Nothobranchius furzeri: one gene and its partners. The protein of the gene in region 3 purifies or fractionates together with the protein of the main gene of each other region. This does not show direct contact. Links are inferred from orthologs where the notes say so. Each region holds a gene or a part of one and is shown on either strand. Other genes may lie near its edges.

Region 1 (4,207 bases), on a different chromosome or scaffold from region 3:
TGTGGGATGAAATTACATCTGACTTTGGAGAAACGTTCTCAGCTCGACGCCAGAACCTTCTTTATCCCACAATGCATCGGGGGCAGAACAGGGTGGGCATTCATTGGGTTAAAATATTCCCTGAGTTTGCCTTACAGGCAGTCCTGAATTCCAGTCGGTTTGTTTCCAACAATAACAAATTCGATGTTGACTTCGATATGATTTATGCCATGAGTAAAATTAATATTTTAGTACGTTTTTATGCATATCATTAATTAATTATCCTTATGTTAATCTAAACTTGGATAAGAAATTTCAGAAGTATGCCTGAACGGTAAGTTTCAGGGCAAAATTTACCCAGTTATCAAAATCCGCCATTTTGCAATTTTGGGTGATACTTGTCTTTAACTTCTCGACGTTTTCACGATAGTTTATGGTTAACCAAATAAATAGTTCCCAGTCAGTTTACACAGGGTAGACAGCATACTTCGATGAGATACTATAAATACTACTTTATTTACTCTTAAACGCACATAAATGTACAGCTGTCGAGAGAGAGAGAGAGAGAGAGAGAGAGAGAGAGAGAGAGAGAGAGAGAGAGAGAGAGACCTGCCCCAAATGGAGGAGTTTAAGTGTATGGTCTTGTTCACGAGTGAGGGAAAACTGGAGTGTGAGATAGATAGGCAGATTGGTGCTGCATCTGCAGTGATGCGAGTGTTGTACCGGTCTGTCGTGGTGAAGAGAGAGCTGTCAGAAGGCAAAGCTCTCAATTTACCAGATGATCTACGTTCCTACCCTCACCTATGGTCATGAGTTTTGGGTAGTGACGGAAAGAACAAGATCGCGGATACAAGCGGTTGAAATGAGTTTTCTCCGCAAAGTGGCTGGGCTCTCCCTTAGAGATAGGGTGAGAAGCTTGGTCATCCGGGAGGGGCTCTGAGTATACCCGCTGCTCCTCCACATCGAGAGGAGCCAGTTGAGGTGGCTCGGGCATCTGGTCAAGATGCCTCCCTGCTGAGGTTTTCCGGGCACGTCCAACCGGGAGGAGACCTAAAGGTAGACCTAGAACACGTTGGAGGGACTATGTCTCACCTGGCCAGGAAACGCCTTGGGAATTCCCCCGGAGGAGCTGGCCGAATTGGCTGGGGGAGAGGGAAGTCTGGGCCTCTCGCCTTAGGCTACTGCCCCCGCGACCCGACTCCGGATGAAAATGGATAGATATATTCAATTATTTTTCTTAATATTGGTTCACATTAATGTAAGTGGACTTTTTCGATACACATAACCAATGCATCTAACTTATCTATGCAACAAACTATCTTTGATGTTTGTTTACTTGACAGATGTTTTAGTAGCTTTTGTTCACACTTAGCCATTGAATTAAATTTAAACACCAAATGGAGTACTTAAAATAAGATGAAAATCAAGTATTATCATCGTATAGCTTTTATTTCAGTATTTAAAGTCTGAAACCTTACCAAACAGGCAAATAAAGGAGACTAGACAATGTTAAACTTGGCACACATGAATGTTCCCTCTTTATGTCTCTGATTTAGTAATGGCATACTGTATATATACTGCTGACAATAGATTCACAACTTAGTCCCAGAATATCTTTTGAATACTTATGGAGATCAATTTTAAATCTAATGATGGTGTTTGTGCCACTAATACAGAATCTGTTTCATGTTTTTATATATATTTTACAAATGTGCCATGAGATAAAAACACAAAACTCAGTCACATAATATAAAAATGGTCCACATAATCCCCAAAACAGGACAGTGGAGTCCAGCACATTTAGTCCAAAATAATTCAGGGTAAAGGGTGGGGAAGTAGTTAGATATTAAGGATCCTCATGATGGAAGTCTAGGTCAAGGTTTCTCCTTTCGTCACCTGAAAAGAGATATAATTGCTTGATTAAATCACTCAAAACAATGCATCTAACTGTGATTCTTCTACTTACTCTTGCTTCTATATATTCGATCCTTCTTTCCAGTGCTGTCAACTTCTCGTTTAGAGTGGCCAGGCGGGACCGACAAGACATATCTGTTTGGGTTAAAATTTATTTTGAATGTTAGTTTGGTATATCAACGATACAACTGTAGGGAGCACTGATTGAAGATGAACTTCACTGGTAGCTATTGTGTTCCTAAAGATGTGGCAGAGCTTCGACACTTGAATTAATAAATATAATAAACTAAGCAAACGCAATTCTCCTTTGAAATATCATTACCCTTTAAAACAAAGCGATTAGCTCGGTGCTAATGTCCGAGCTAGCTGGGAGTGGCCATTTAAAAACATCAACATCAGTGTTAGCAGCAGCCCGACAGCTAGCTTCTCTAGCTAGCGCGACCTTCCAGCTCAAATATTTCTACAACACAGCGGTCGAATCCTTTGTAGCTTTTCCTAAAAGCTCACCGAACGAGTTGAGAAAGTCTGCGATTTTCTTGATGCTGCTTGTTATGACCTCTATGTACTCTCGATTCGCCCAGTCTTGGTGGATCTCCCTCTGAACGGGGTCTTCCTGGCCAGCCATGTTAGCAGTTTTGTCGTTGCAGAAGCTTTCATCCAGGAAGCGCCATCGGGCGTAAACTGGGCACGAGATTTAGCGAGATTCATAATTATCAATAAAATATTGCTTTTTATTTCGCTCGGTTCAAACACTGTATGTAAAAGTGAAGATTATTTTGTCAATTTTCAAATTTAGAATATAAAGAAAAACCCAGAAAATGAAATTTATACATATATATATATAGTTTTGACAGAAAAAATATTTAAAAAACATCTAAAAACAAAGACAAAAAATCTAGTTGAGAAAGTTAATCTATTAAAGTTATTTAACTATTTTATGCACATGTGCATACGCCACAGACTACACATTGTTGTCTATGATGCAAACACACATAAGGTTTTACGAACGTGTGGCTGAGGTGTCTCATGTGATAAGCCCAGGTTTGTTTTGGGACCAGTGAACCTCAATTGGCTCCTAAAGGTAGCACCTTGTGGCAGCGTTGTATAAATGTGAGAATAAGAAACATTAAAAATACCTTCTGAATCTAACAATCATAGGAGATGTTTTATTCTCCAGAAGTAATTTTCAATAATCTGTAGTTTTTATGGTTTGATGCATCATGTAAAGAAAAACCCTCAATGCAAATGCTTCTATTTAAATGCCAAAAAGTAAAATTGAAATGAGATAAAGATATAGTTGCCTACATTTGTCGGACACCAAAGAAAATCTAGGATTTATATGTGCGTTTTATAAATGTAATTTTAAAAAGTGTTTGATAAAAGATGTTTATTTCATTTTTTCAACTAATATTCCAATTGCAGTACAGTCAGGGGTAAATACAGACATTTACATCTTTATCAGAGTCTCCCTACACAAAAAGGTTTGCAGGAGCCTCATCATTAAGTAAATGGGTTGAAAAACCAAGTATATACCACTGAAAATTTCACAATATTTGGACTGTGGCAATTAATTCAACTGTGAGCAGGAAAGCAAGAAGAAATACCCGAAACGCCTGGGTCTACAGATAAGCATTACAAAGCCAGTGTGGTCACGACAGATATCTTTCACTGCCAGCAATAGTAATGTTGTAGCACATTTTACTTGATCCTCCTTTTCAGTAGCTCCTTAATATCTTCCTCAATATCTATGGTGAGGAAGTTTCTGCTGTAGCGCTTGAAAGGCTCCCCATCAGCTCCGATCAGGAATTTCTCAAAATTCCAGGATATGTCGGTCCTGCACACAGGACTCCAGATGATGAACTTTGGATCGGTCATGAGGGCCGTGGCATTGTCGCTGGGGGTTGGGAGCGTCTCCTTAAGGTACACAAACAAGGGATGAGCAGCTTTTCCATTGACGTCTACCTTCTCCAGGAGCTGGAACTTGGGTTCAAAGCCATTCCCTGGGCGGACATACTTTAGGGATCTCAGGATCTCATCATTTTTGGCATTCTCCTATTGTGCAAATCGAAATATTTAAATACATTAAAGTAGCATGAATTTAAATGTGGAAGCACCTTTGATTCTAAACCACTCTACTAATTCACTTTCCTTAACCCTTCTACAAGTAACAAAAACAAGTACTGTGCATTATTTGTTTCTCCGTATATCTACTGGAACTTACCTGGTGCCCAAACTGATTGCAGGGCACACCCAGGATAACGAGTCCCTCTGCGGAATAGCGAGAATGAAGCTCGTTCATCTGAGTGTAATCCCT
Region 2 (5,282 bases), on a different chromosome or scaffold from region 3:
ATATATATATATATATGTATATATGTATGTATGTATGTATGTATGTATGTATGTATGTATGTATATAAGTCTATTTATCAGACACAGGTGACATCAAGATTTATAGAATAAAATAGAACCATAAAATGATAAATTAATCATTTAGTTATTTTTACTCATTCCAGTTAAGTTGTGGTTTATTAATTTATGTATGTTAGGCTACTATAAAAGGAAATAGTTCAGGTTAATTATAAATTTTGAGTTCTATTTAATACAAGGAAAAGGCTGAACTAATTCAACACATTTGAGTTCTAAAATATTTGATTATTTTCAACATTTTGGGTTTACAGAGTGCAGAAAGATGAGGGCGCACAAAAAAATAAAAATAAAAAATACAACTGAACCAAAATATCACTGTCCCAAACATGCTGAGGCTATATAAAGCTTGAGGCACACCGTAGGCGGACGATCAGTGTTGCTCCTGCGATTTTGAGAACAAGATTTTGTCACACAGGAAATGCCACTGAGCACTTCTGGAAAGTCGTGCGATAGTCACAACATCACGCGGGACTTGAGAACAGGAAGCGGGAAGTGACTCTATTGTTTATACTTGATCAGACTTACCATAGCATTTTGTGAGACTCAAATTTTTTAAAAGTGGGAAAGTATACTATTTATTAAAATACATGAACATCAATAGTACTTTAAAGTTATCAAAAGTGCGGTTGGGTTTGTTCTGCGTCGTAATGTCTACTGTAAAGTACTCCACAATGTTGTAAAGCTGCGGTGGCGCTGCGCGGCTGCGCCTGAGATGAAACTGGTGCCTATCTTGTTTTATCTCCGGTTCTATTCTTCTTCAGCCAACACGTCGGACATGTTCAGAAGAAGAACCGGAGATAAAACAAGTTCTGGTTTGGAGCAAGAGTTTATAAAGAAGTTAGCGAGATCCAGCATTTATTTTGGTAACCAACTTCTGCTTATTGGCAAGCAAATTTGTACATTAGCTAAATGATTAAGTACCAGCTAAATATTTATTTTTCACAATGTTATTTAGCTCCACACTATATTTTATATTTTTTGAGTCAGACTTAAATATTTATTTCTCAAATACTGATTTTGCAAACTAAATGTTTAGCTCCAAAATAAATATTTAGCTGGGATCTAAATATTTATTTAGGAAAATAAATATTTAATTTACAAATCAAATATTTAGTTCCAAAATAAATATTGAATTAGTAAATTAAATATTTAGTTAGTGAATTAAATATTTATTTTACAAACTAAATATTTAGATCTGACCTAAATATTTAGTTTGCAAAATAAATATTTAACTACAAATTAAATATTTAGCTTGCTAACTAAATATTTATTTGGAAACTTTAACATTTATAAACATGGTGAAAATACGACTTCAAAAAAGTGAACTCCCAATTTTTTCTCTTATGATATGCTAAATAACCAAAAGTATTGCTGTTAGATTACGACTGTTTGACTTCACAAATGGCACCCCAAAGTACAAGTGCCTGAGTAAGCTGTAAAAACGAGAGGGATCAACATGTCGACGGCGCCGAGCTGCGACTGTCCCTTTAAGAAAATGCACTTGCAGCCATTTTCTGCTCTTTGTGTGGAGCGGATTAGCACAGGGCTGGTACCGAGCGAAACTAGAGCATCAGTCGGTACGGAACACCCAGAAAACACCCAGGAACCACCGGAGAGCTGTCGCAGGACCGCGACACCGGCCACCCGTCTGCTTGTCGCCGGACTCCGCGGGACATGCGATTTTCGGGTAGGTGGAAACATGGATGCAGAGGAAGGAGAGAGGCTGGGGGTGATGATGTGAGCTGGGTAGTGATGATGGCTGGAGAGCGACCGGGAGAGCTGCTGCCGCTTTTCTCTCCCTCCGTCTCGCGCTTTTACATCTTTCCCGTCACCTGTGTGTTTGTGCATGAACGAGATTCCGGATGAAAAGATGAGCGGATGAATGTGACTGATGAATGGGAGTCCCGTTCGCCTCCATCGGTGCCGTGGCTCAGATGGGTGGGGTGAGGCTTCCCGAGCAGCAAGTGCACCGAGGAGTGATGGAGCACGTACACGTACAGATAACGGTTTCCCGAGCCGGTAACGTCTTTTACACAGATAAGGTAAAATATACACCCGAGTGAGTTTATGTTTAGGACTCCGAGAGCTCGATCACACATTTTACTCCCCCCTCCCCCCCTTTATTCTGTATCTACGGTGAGAAATGCCCTTCTCCACCCTAGAACCCCCCCGTAGTTGATGCATCCGACCAGCAGGCCACACGGTCCAGACCCATCACGGCCATCGCACCAGCAGCCTTCGGGCCTGGGTGATCACCATCCCCGGTTCACACGCTTCCGTCTCTGCATTCACACCGCTGCACACCTCTTTCCTGAAATCCGCCTCTCATCATGTGCTGTCAGCAAGTTGTAAACATGCAGCGATGCAGATTTTCCATGTAGTGGTGGAGAAAACCATTTTAACTGATCTAAAGTGGTTGCACTGGTTCAGACAAGACTGGGACTGGTGGGTTGTGTTCACCATTAGAGGCGCCTCTGGTATCACTGCTTCATCACAAGACAAACTGTTTAAAAATCATTATTTTTTATTGAAGTTTAGGTTAAAAGCAACACACATGAATGGAGTTGCTGTTTTTTGTTTTGTTTTCTAGAGAAGATGTCTACTGTTTGACAAAAAAAAGTAATCCCGTTGATTAATTGGCACATTTACAGAACAAAAGAGAAAATAATCACATTTATCTTTGGCTTCTTGTCGAGCTCTAAGGCCCGGTTCACACAGGAGGGTTTAAAATTGTGGGGTGATTTTTAAAAACGTGAGAGACCCCACACGAGGTGATGAAAAATCACCAAACAGTTTTGGTCCTGCAGTCCAGCAACATGGCTAAAACTACACACCGATTAGATGAGAAGTCTTGCTAAACCTATCTGTGGTGGAGGAGGAGCATGCTTTTGATGGACTTTCAACATGAAGCATGTTTGTTTGTCTTCGATGTTGGGCCGAGCCCAGATTTAAGATCGAAGCAGTCCCGATGTCCTTCTGAGAAGACCAGAGTGGCTGTAGCACCCCACACATGGCCAGAATCAGAGGTTGACTAATATTGTTTTTTGTATTGCTGATACCAATGCTTTGGTGGACACCAGCAGTTAAGGATGCTGCCAAGCTGAAGAAAGAGTCCTGTCAGGTCTTTTTGGCTTGTGGGACTCCAGAGGCAGCTGACGGGTACCGGTGGTCCAAGCAGAACGCGGCTCGGGTGGTCGCCAAGGTAAAAACCCGGGCATGGGAGGAGTTCGGTGAGACCATGGAGCAAGACTTTCGTACGGCTTCAAGGAGATTCTGGTCCACCATCCAGCGCCTCGGGGAGAAAGCAGTGTGCTACCAACACTATCTATAGTGGGGACGGTGTGCTGCTGACCTCTACTCAGGACTTGTGGATCGGTGGGCAGAATACTTTGAAGACCTCCTCAATCCCACCGACACGTCTTCCAGTGAGGAAGCAGAGTCTGGGGACTTGGAGTTGGGCTCTCAAATCTCTGGTGCTGAGGTCATGGTCAGTCGATGGCCGATTTGTGCAGCCGAAATTTTGGGCAGATTTTAGTGATGCACCGATATGAAAATTTTGAGCAGATGTGATATGTGATATTAATTTCACTGTTATGGACGATAACCGATATTTGCCAATACTGATATATTGACATAACTGCTTCAAAAATCAGGAGATTCGGTGGAGAATGAAAATTATTAAAGCTGAATTTACATCATTATGTACAAACACCTCACACATTTACGCTTCTGAGATGATTATCATCAATGTCACATGACTAAACAAGTACACATCAACCTCTGAAACAGAGAAACAAAAGGAAATGATGGGAAAAATATTTGTTGTTAATATTGACCCAGTTTTATTTATCGGACTGATGCCTATATATGAAAAAAGGTCTAACTTCGGCTGATACCGATATTGATGCCGATATATCGTGCATCCCTTGCAGATTTTCATGGCCGATATTTATCAATCAATCAATCAAAGCTTTATTTATAAAGCGCCTTCCGCAACCCTGTCAGGAAGCCCAAAGACATTTACCACCTTATTTTGATGCCAAAATGTCACTAATAACATTAGTTCATGCACAGATTTTCTGAAGCTGGATCCATTTTTTGAACACTTAATTTAACCAGCTGTTAAATCTTTGTTTTGTGCACTGATCAGTGTTAAAATCAATAAGGTTGCACCAATATGACATTTTGGGCCGATACTGATATCCTAAACTAATATTGGCTGATTAACGATATGTGCCGTTTAGGGTTGTCATGGTGTGAAAATTTAACCTCACGGTTATTGTGACCAAAATTATCACTGTTTTCGGTATTATCGCGGTATATTTTTTTTAAACGTGTTACATTTTCAGACAAGTACATAAACCCTAGCCTAGTGAACTAGACCAAATTCTTGCTTTGCAAAGAATGGTCTAGGCATGCTCCATTGGAACCTCAGCAGCTCCTACCAGGACTCTGGCTAGCCAATCACAGCTCTCTAGAGGGGTTTCAAACACATAAAGAGCTGTGATTGGTCCACAATGGTGGACCAATCATAGTGCTCTATCTGCTTAGTGAACAAATCACAGAGCTTTATCTGCTTTGTGGGCCAATCAGGGCCCTCTATATGCCTGGTGGGTGGGATGATGCAACAGAGTGAAACAAGAGTATGTCACATTCATTGTCCAGTGGAATGTGGAGATCATTTGAAAGACAACGGTAGAACCTGCCCCACAACCGAGAGCCGTCAATGGAGCATGGCCAGACTAAATAATACATTTATTTAGTCTGGCTTGCCAGGCTACATAAACCCCATATATCAGGAAAATATTGTCCTCAGTTTGTGTCAAAATTTAGCCTAAAATTTGTTATTTTGTAATTATATTGTTTATTTGTTTACATGTTTCCCCTTTAGTCTTTAAAATACCAATATTTGTCCATAACTTCTTATTTTTTGTCTGTTTGATGTCATCATTTTAAAAATATTAGATCAGATGATACTCAGGACTCAAGTAGCCTTCTAATCAGATACTTTTTTTACCCTTACTTGAGTAATAATCCCTATATCAGGAAAATATTGTCCTCGGTTTGTGTCCTTCCAGTGAGCTTTGCAGATGTGGGAAAATGTCATCAGGCAGTAATCATTAGGGCTGTCACGGTAACCGCAAAAATGAAATATCGCAATTTGAAGAAACCCACCGAGCTGCATCATGGGCCACCGCGATTAC
Region 3 (4,777 bases):
ACTGTAGAAGACATTACTCCTGTGGGCTTCTTATCTGTCACAAACACAACATCACGGTCAGTCAGCTGAGCTGGACTTTGGAAAAAAAGACTCCTAGTTTACAAAAGCAAAGGTTCAGATCAGGAGCCCACGTGATGTCTTCTCCCCGTCCTTATCAGCCCATCTGTACACAGTGATGTGGGTGGTACGTGCTGTCTGGGAATGTCCTCGGGGGTGGGGTGTAGGGACACACTGCAGTAAACAACTGCAACCATAACATCCCTTATGTTTGATTTGATTTTAGCCGATGACCTGAAAGGGTTAAATTCAGTCATTCAACAAGTTTTACGATAAAAATATTTAAAATATTCTCCTGTTTGCTGTTGTTTGACCTTTCCACCTGTTTTTAGGGCCTTTTTATTTTGGTAAGAGGCCCTGGAACCCCCTCCCCCAAGGCGCTTCACAACACAATCACTCACCCATTCACTCTTACACCCACACCCTGGTGGTGAGGAGCTACGATGTAGCCACAGCTGCCCTGGGGCGCTGACGGAGGCGAGGCTGCCGAGCACTGGCGCCACCAGTCCCTCTGACCACCACCAGCAGGCTAGGTGGGTTAAGCGTCTTGCCCAAGGACACAACGACAGCTACAGGCTGAGTGGGGCTTGAACCTGCAACCTTCCGATTACGGGGCGAGCGCTTAACTCCTGTGCCGCCGTCGCCCATTCGTTTATTTTAAATAAATGAAACCTCAGCGTTGATATTTCATCATTAAGCTAATGTCTTCTGTCTGCTTTAAGGAACTCTGAGGGTCGGAACGGCAGCATCGGATCAGGAGAAGGTTTTAATTCTGATCCCCTTGATCAGAGTACGAACTCCTACGCCTACGAGCCTGGCTCCCCTCCACCTGCGGGCAGTCCTGAAGAATTCCTGCCTCCTCCACCCGTAGACGCACCGTAAGTACTGTTAGCATGATTGGCCCTGCTAGCGAATCACGAACACACATGTACGTGGTCGTATATGTTCAAGCGACTGTACGTCTAGACAATCGTACGTGTACGTCTAGGCCAGGGGTCACCGACCTGGTGCCCTCAGGCCTGTTCTAAAAATAGCACAATTTACCGTTCAGAAAAATGTAAAAATATTATTTTCTGTGGCTGTTTTTAAAATCACATTTTATGTGATTATAAACGTGGACGGCTTACAGAATTGTGGGAACTGCAGAGGAACAAAGCTAATGGGTTCTACAGTGAAACTCTGGGAAGGAGTGGTAGAAGCTAGGCTAGACTTGAGAAGTGAGCATTTGTGAGCAGCAGAACAGTGGGATGCCAAGAGTGTTCTACAGATGCTACCTTAGCTTCAAAGATGCCAAAGGAGAAGTACAGAGAAGGTTATGATGGTGCTGAGATGCATGAGGAGGTCTGGAGTAACCAAAAAGTATTAGAGTGGTAAAGAACGTGTGTGAGAGCTGGAGTTCCAGAGGAGTTCAGGGTGGAGGTGAGATGGGATCAAGGATCTGCTCTGAGCCCCTTGTTTGCTTTGGTGATGGACAAGCTGAAGATGTTACACAGGAGTCTTCATGGACTTTGATGTTTGCAGACAGTGATATGCTGTGAGAGCATGGTGCAGGTAGAAGAAGAGCTAGAGAGGTGTAGATGTGCACTGGAGAAGAAAGGAACGAACGAAGACACCATCCATGTGTGTAAATGAGAGGGGACAGTTGAAGTGGAACAGTGATGTTACAGCGAGTAGAAGTAAAGAAGGTGGAGGACTTTATGGACTTGGGGTTTATGGTCCAAAGCAACAGAGAAGGTGGAAAGAGGCGAAGAGGCGGGTGAAGCAGGGTGGAGTCGGTGAATGTCAGATGTGTGTGGAAAAAGGGTTTCAGCAAAAAGGAAAGGAAATGTGTGGAAGACAGAAGTGAGAGAAGCCATGCCGGATGGTCCTTGAGGACAACATAACGGGAGGTTCCAAAGCTCAAGATGTTGAGGTTCTCTTTGGGAGTGAGGAGGATGGATAGGATCAGGAACGAGTCTATTAGAGGGACAGCTGTTAGATGTTTTGGAGATAAAGTCAGAGAGGACAGACTGAGATGGTTTGGACATGTCAGGACAGGAGATCTATGAATGTGCTGAAAGAGGACATGAAGTTAGTTGGTAGAGGATGCAGAAGACCTGACTGAATGGAGACAGATGATTGGCTGTAGTGACTTCTGAAGGGACAAGCCCAAATAGACTTTTTTAACCTCAGTTGCACCGATATATTGTAAAAAAAAAAACCTTAAAATATATTTATTATACATGAAGTGTAGTTAAACTCAAATCTATTCTAGTTCAAAGGTCAGTATTGTGCACGTGACAAAACCTTGTCAACCCAGTAGCCCTTCATGTGACTCGGTAATCGTGAAGTGGCTCTCAGCCTCACAAAGGTGGCTGACCCCTGCTCTAGGCGGTCGTACATCTAGGTGGCTGTGTTTACAGTTATTTGTCTAGGCAGTTCTACAGCTGCACGGTTTTAGTCTAGGTGGTCATACGTCCACTCGGTGGTAACGTATAGGCGTTCGTACGCCTGTGCGGTCACATGGCTACGTAGTCGTACTGCGCTGCGACACGGCTACTCTGCGACACGGCCACTCTGGGACACGGCTATGCGGCGACTCGGCCACTCTGGGACACGCAGCCACTCTGAGACACGGCTATGCGGCGACACGGCCATTCTGGGACTCGGCCACTCTGGGACACGGCTACGCGGCGACACATCTCCAGAGGAACATCTGTAGTTGGAGAAGCTTCTTCTGTATTAACGCTTCTGTTCATCTTTACTTGCAGGTTTGGTGATGGAGCTCCGGCCCAGAGGTGGAGCGGCATGAGTCCCACCCACCCTCCTCCCGCTCCACCTTCTCTCTCCTCTCCTGTATCTAACTTCCGTCCAAGCCTCTCCCCTCCCCCTGCACCTCCTCCCCCGCCGCCACCCTCTGGTTTTGATGCACCCCCACCTCCACCTGGCTTTGATGCTCCCCCTCCTCCTCCTCCTCCACTCGCTCCTACCAACTCTTATCCGTCTCCCCCTGTTCCTCCTCCCCCACCCGATATGTCCTTTATCTCTTCTCCCCCGCCACCTGTCCTTTCAGGTGGTGGAGGTCCACCACCTCCTCCTCCACCTCCTCCACCCCCAGGGCCTCCTCCTCCTCCATCTGTTGGAATCTCTGCTCCTCCTCCTCCCCCCTCCTCTGGTGGAGGCGTGGCTCCCAGCTCTGCTCCTAAACCTCAGCCAGCTGCTGCTGGCGATTCTCGTAGCGACCTGCTGCAGGCCATCAGAAGCGGTAAGACCTACCTAGAGGGAGGCAGTGCCCCTCACTGCTGACTGAGTGGAGATGATTAAACCTCCAGTAGACACAAACCAACTTATTAATTTTAGGGGTTTAAATTTAATGCGTTAATTATGATTAGAGAAGATAACGGAAGCTGAGCCTAGCGAGACAGACAAGCATTTATCTTGTATCTCTCATCAGAACTTCCCCTGAACTCTACGCTACACCTCTATATTCATTAGCAGGGCTCTCCTGCCACCTAGTGCTCAGTTCAGTACACTGCATTCACGATGTTCCATGTCTATTTACACTTCATCAGTAACACATAACCTAATATTTACACATCCCAACAAATCCCACAGTGTTTTTCTTTATAATGAGACTATAGTAATCAAATAGATCTTGTAATTATAGAAATATACTCCGAACATCATTTTTAATTAAAAAAAATGGCTTGGGGGGAAAATTATCTTGATCGATTAATCAAGATTAATTAATTACGAAGCCTCTGAATATTTAAAATAATTTTTAATCAAGTCCCACTCCTAATTTATTTGTTCACCAACAACAACACTGTATAGTTTTGGGCCAGGTTTTAATAAGAGGGAGTTAGAAAAAACAACAAAATCTCACACAACTAACCCCTTTGTGGTCGGATTCTGCTGACTGAGTAGGGACGATTGTGATTGATTGAAGGACACGCAGTGATCCACGTCAGATCAGAACGCGTCGAGTTCTTAAACCTGTGATATCGTAGCGAGATCTGCGATGTGACCGTAACACACACGTATATCATGCAGCTCTTCTAACATTGAACTTCTCCGCTCGGTGCGTCACAGAGGGAGAATGTTTGAACGTGTACGTTATATGACGTAAGAGCTTGCCACACGGGCAGCACTCTGCTCCTAGCAGCTGCAGCAGACCAACCAGGATGTTGTACTCTGATTATTAAAGACAAATGTTGTTTTTCTGTTGCAGCTGTTAGGAAGTAAATAAACCAGGTGTGTGCTTCTAGACGCGTTTTCAGCATGCTCTGCTGAAGAGGGCGTTTCTCTCAAGCCACGGCTTTTTTAACTTCACACTTTTTCTTTTAACGTAGGTTTTAATCTGCGTAAGGTGGAAGCGCAGCGAGAGCAGGAGAAGAGGGACACGACCGGCAACGACGTGGCCGCCATTTTGTCCCGTCGCATCGCCGTGGAGTGCAGCGACAGCGAGGACGACTCTTCGGAGTTCGGCGACGACGACTGGTCCGATTGATCGCCGTCACCGCCACCATCTTACCTTAGCCTTGACCAACATCTGTGCATTCCCATTACAGTCTTCAAGTACGTTTTTTTATAAAGAGGATTTATCCTGTGGCGTTTTAAAAATCACATTCCTCCACCGATACGTTTTCCAGTCCGGAGTTTGTGAACGAGGGCGGCTGCTTGTGTCCCGGTTTGATGTTTCTGTGTTGATCCAACAGTATTCTGTGATTTAAACACATCA

What was found. Proteins that work in one complex are often made in the same cells at the same time.
Region 1: the proteins of wasf2 (region 3) and brk1 purify together in Homo sapiens (co-immunoprecipitation; 3 studies listed by BioGRID and IntAct, with this or other methods). This does not show direct contact. The link is inferred for Nothobranchius furzeri from reciprocal best matches to the Homo sapiens genes WASF2 and BRK1.
Region 2: the proteins of wasf2 (region 3) and cyfip2 purify together in Homo sapiens (co-immunoprecipitation; 3 studies listed by BioGRID and IntAct, with this or other methods). This does not show direct contact. The link is inferred for Nothobranchius furzeri from reciprocal best matches to the Homo sapiens genes WASF2 and CYFIP2.

What each region holds. Positions count from the first base shown.
Region 1 is NC_091743.1:65,723,508-65,727,714, forward strand, and holds brk1 (probable protein BRICK1), read right to left. Parts: upstream 2,576-4,207; 5' UTR 2,519-2,575; coding exon 2,401-2,518; intron 2,029-2,400; coding exon 1,946-2,028; intron 1,876-1,945; coding exon 1,849-1,875; 3' UTR 1,410-1,848; downstream 1-1,409. UniProt on the Homo sapiens protein: Involved in regulation of actin and microtubule organization. Part of a WAVE complex that activates the Arp2/3 complex. As component of the WAVE1 complex, required for BDNF-NTRK2 endocytic trafficking and signaling from early endosomes.
Region 2 is NC_091742.1:50,767,740-50,773,021, reverse strand, and holds the start of cyfip2 (cytoplasmic FMR1-interacting protein 2), read left to right. Parts: upstream 1-1,573; 5' UTR 1,574-1,765; intron 1,766-5,282. UniProt on the Homo sapiens protein: Involved in T-cell adhesion and p53/TP53-dependent induction of apoptosis. Does not bind RNA. As component of the WAVE1 complex, required for BDNF-NTRK2 endocytic trafficking and signaling from early endosomes.
Region 3 is NC_091759.1:21,196,201-21,200,977, forward strand, and holds part of wasf2 (actin-binding protein WASF2), read left to right. Parts: intron 1-779; coding exon 780-935; intron 936-2,807; coding exon 2,808-3,301; intron 3,302-4,388; coding exon 4,389-4,546; 3' UTR 4,547-4,777. UniProt on the Homo sapiens protein: Downstream effector molecule involved in the transmission of signals from tyrosine kinase receptors and small GTPases to the actin cytoskeleton. Promotes formation of actin filaments. Part of the WAVE complex that regulates lamellipodia formation.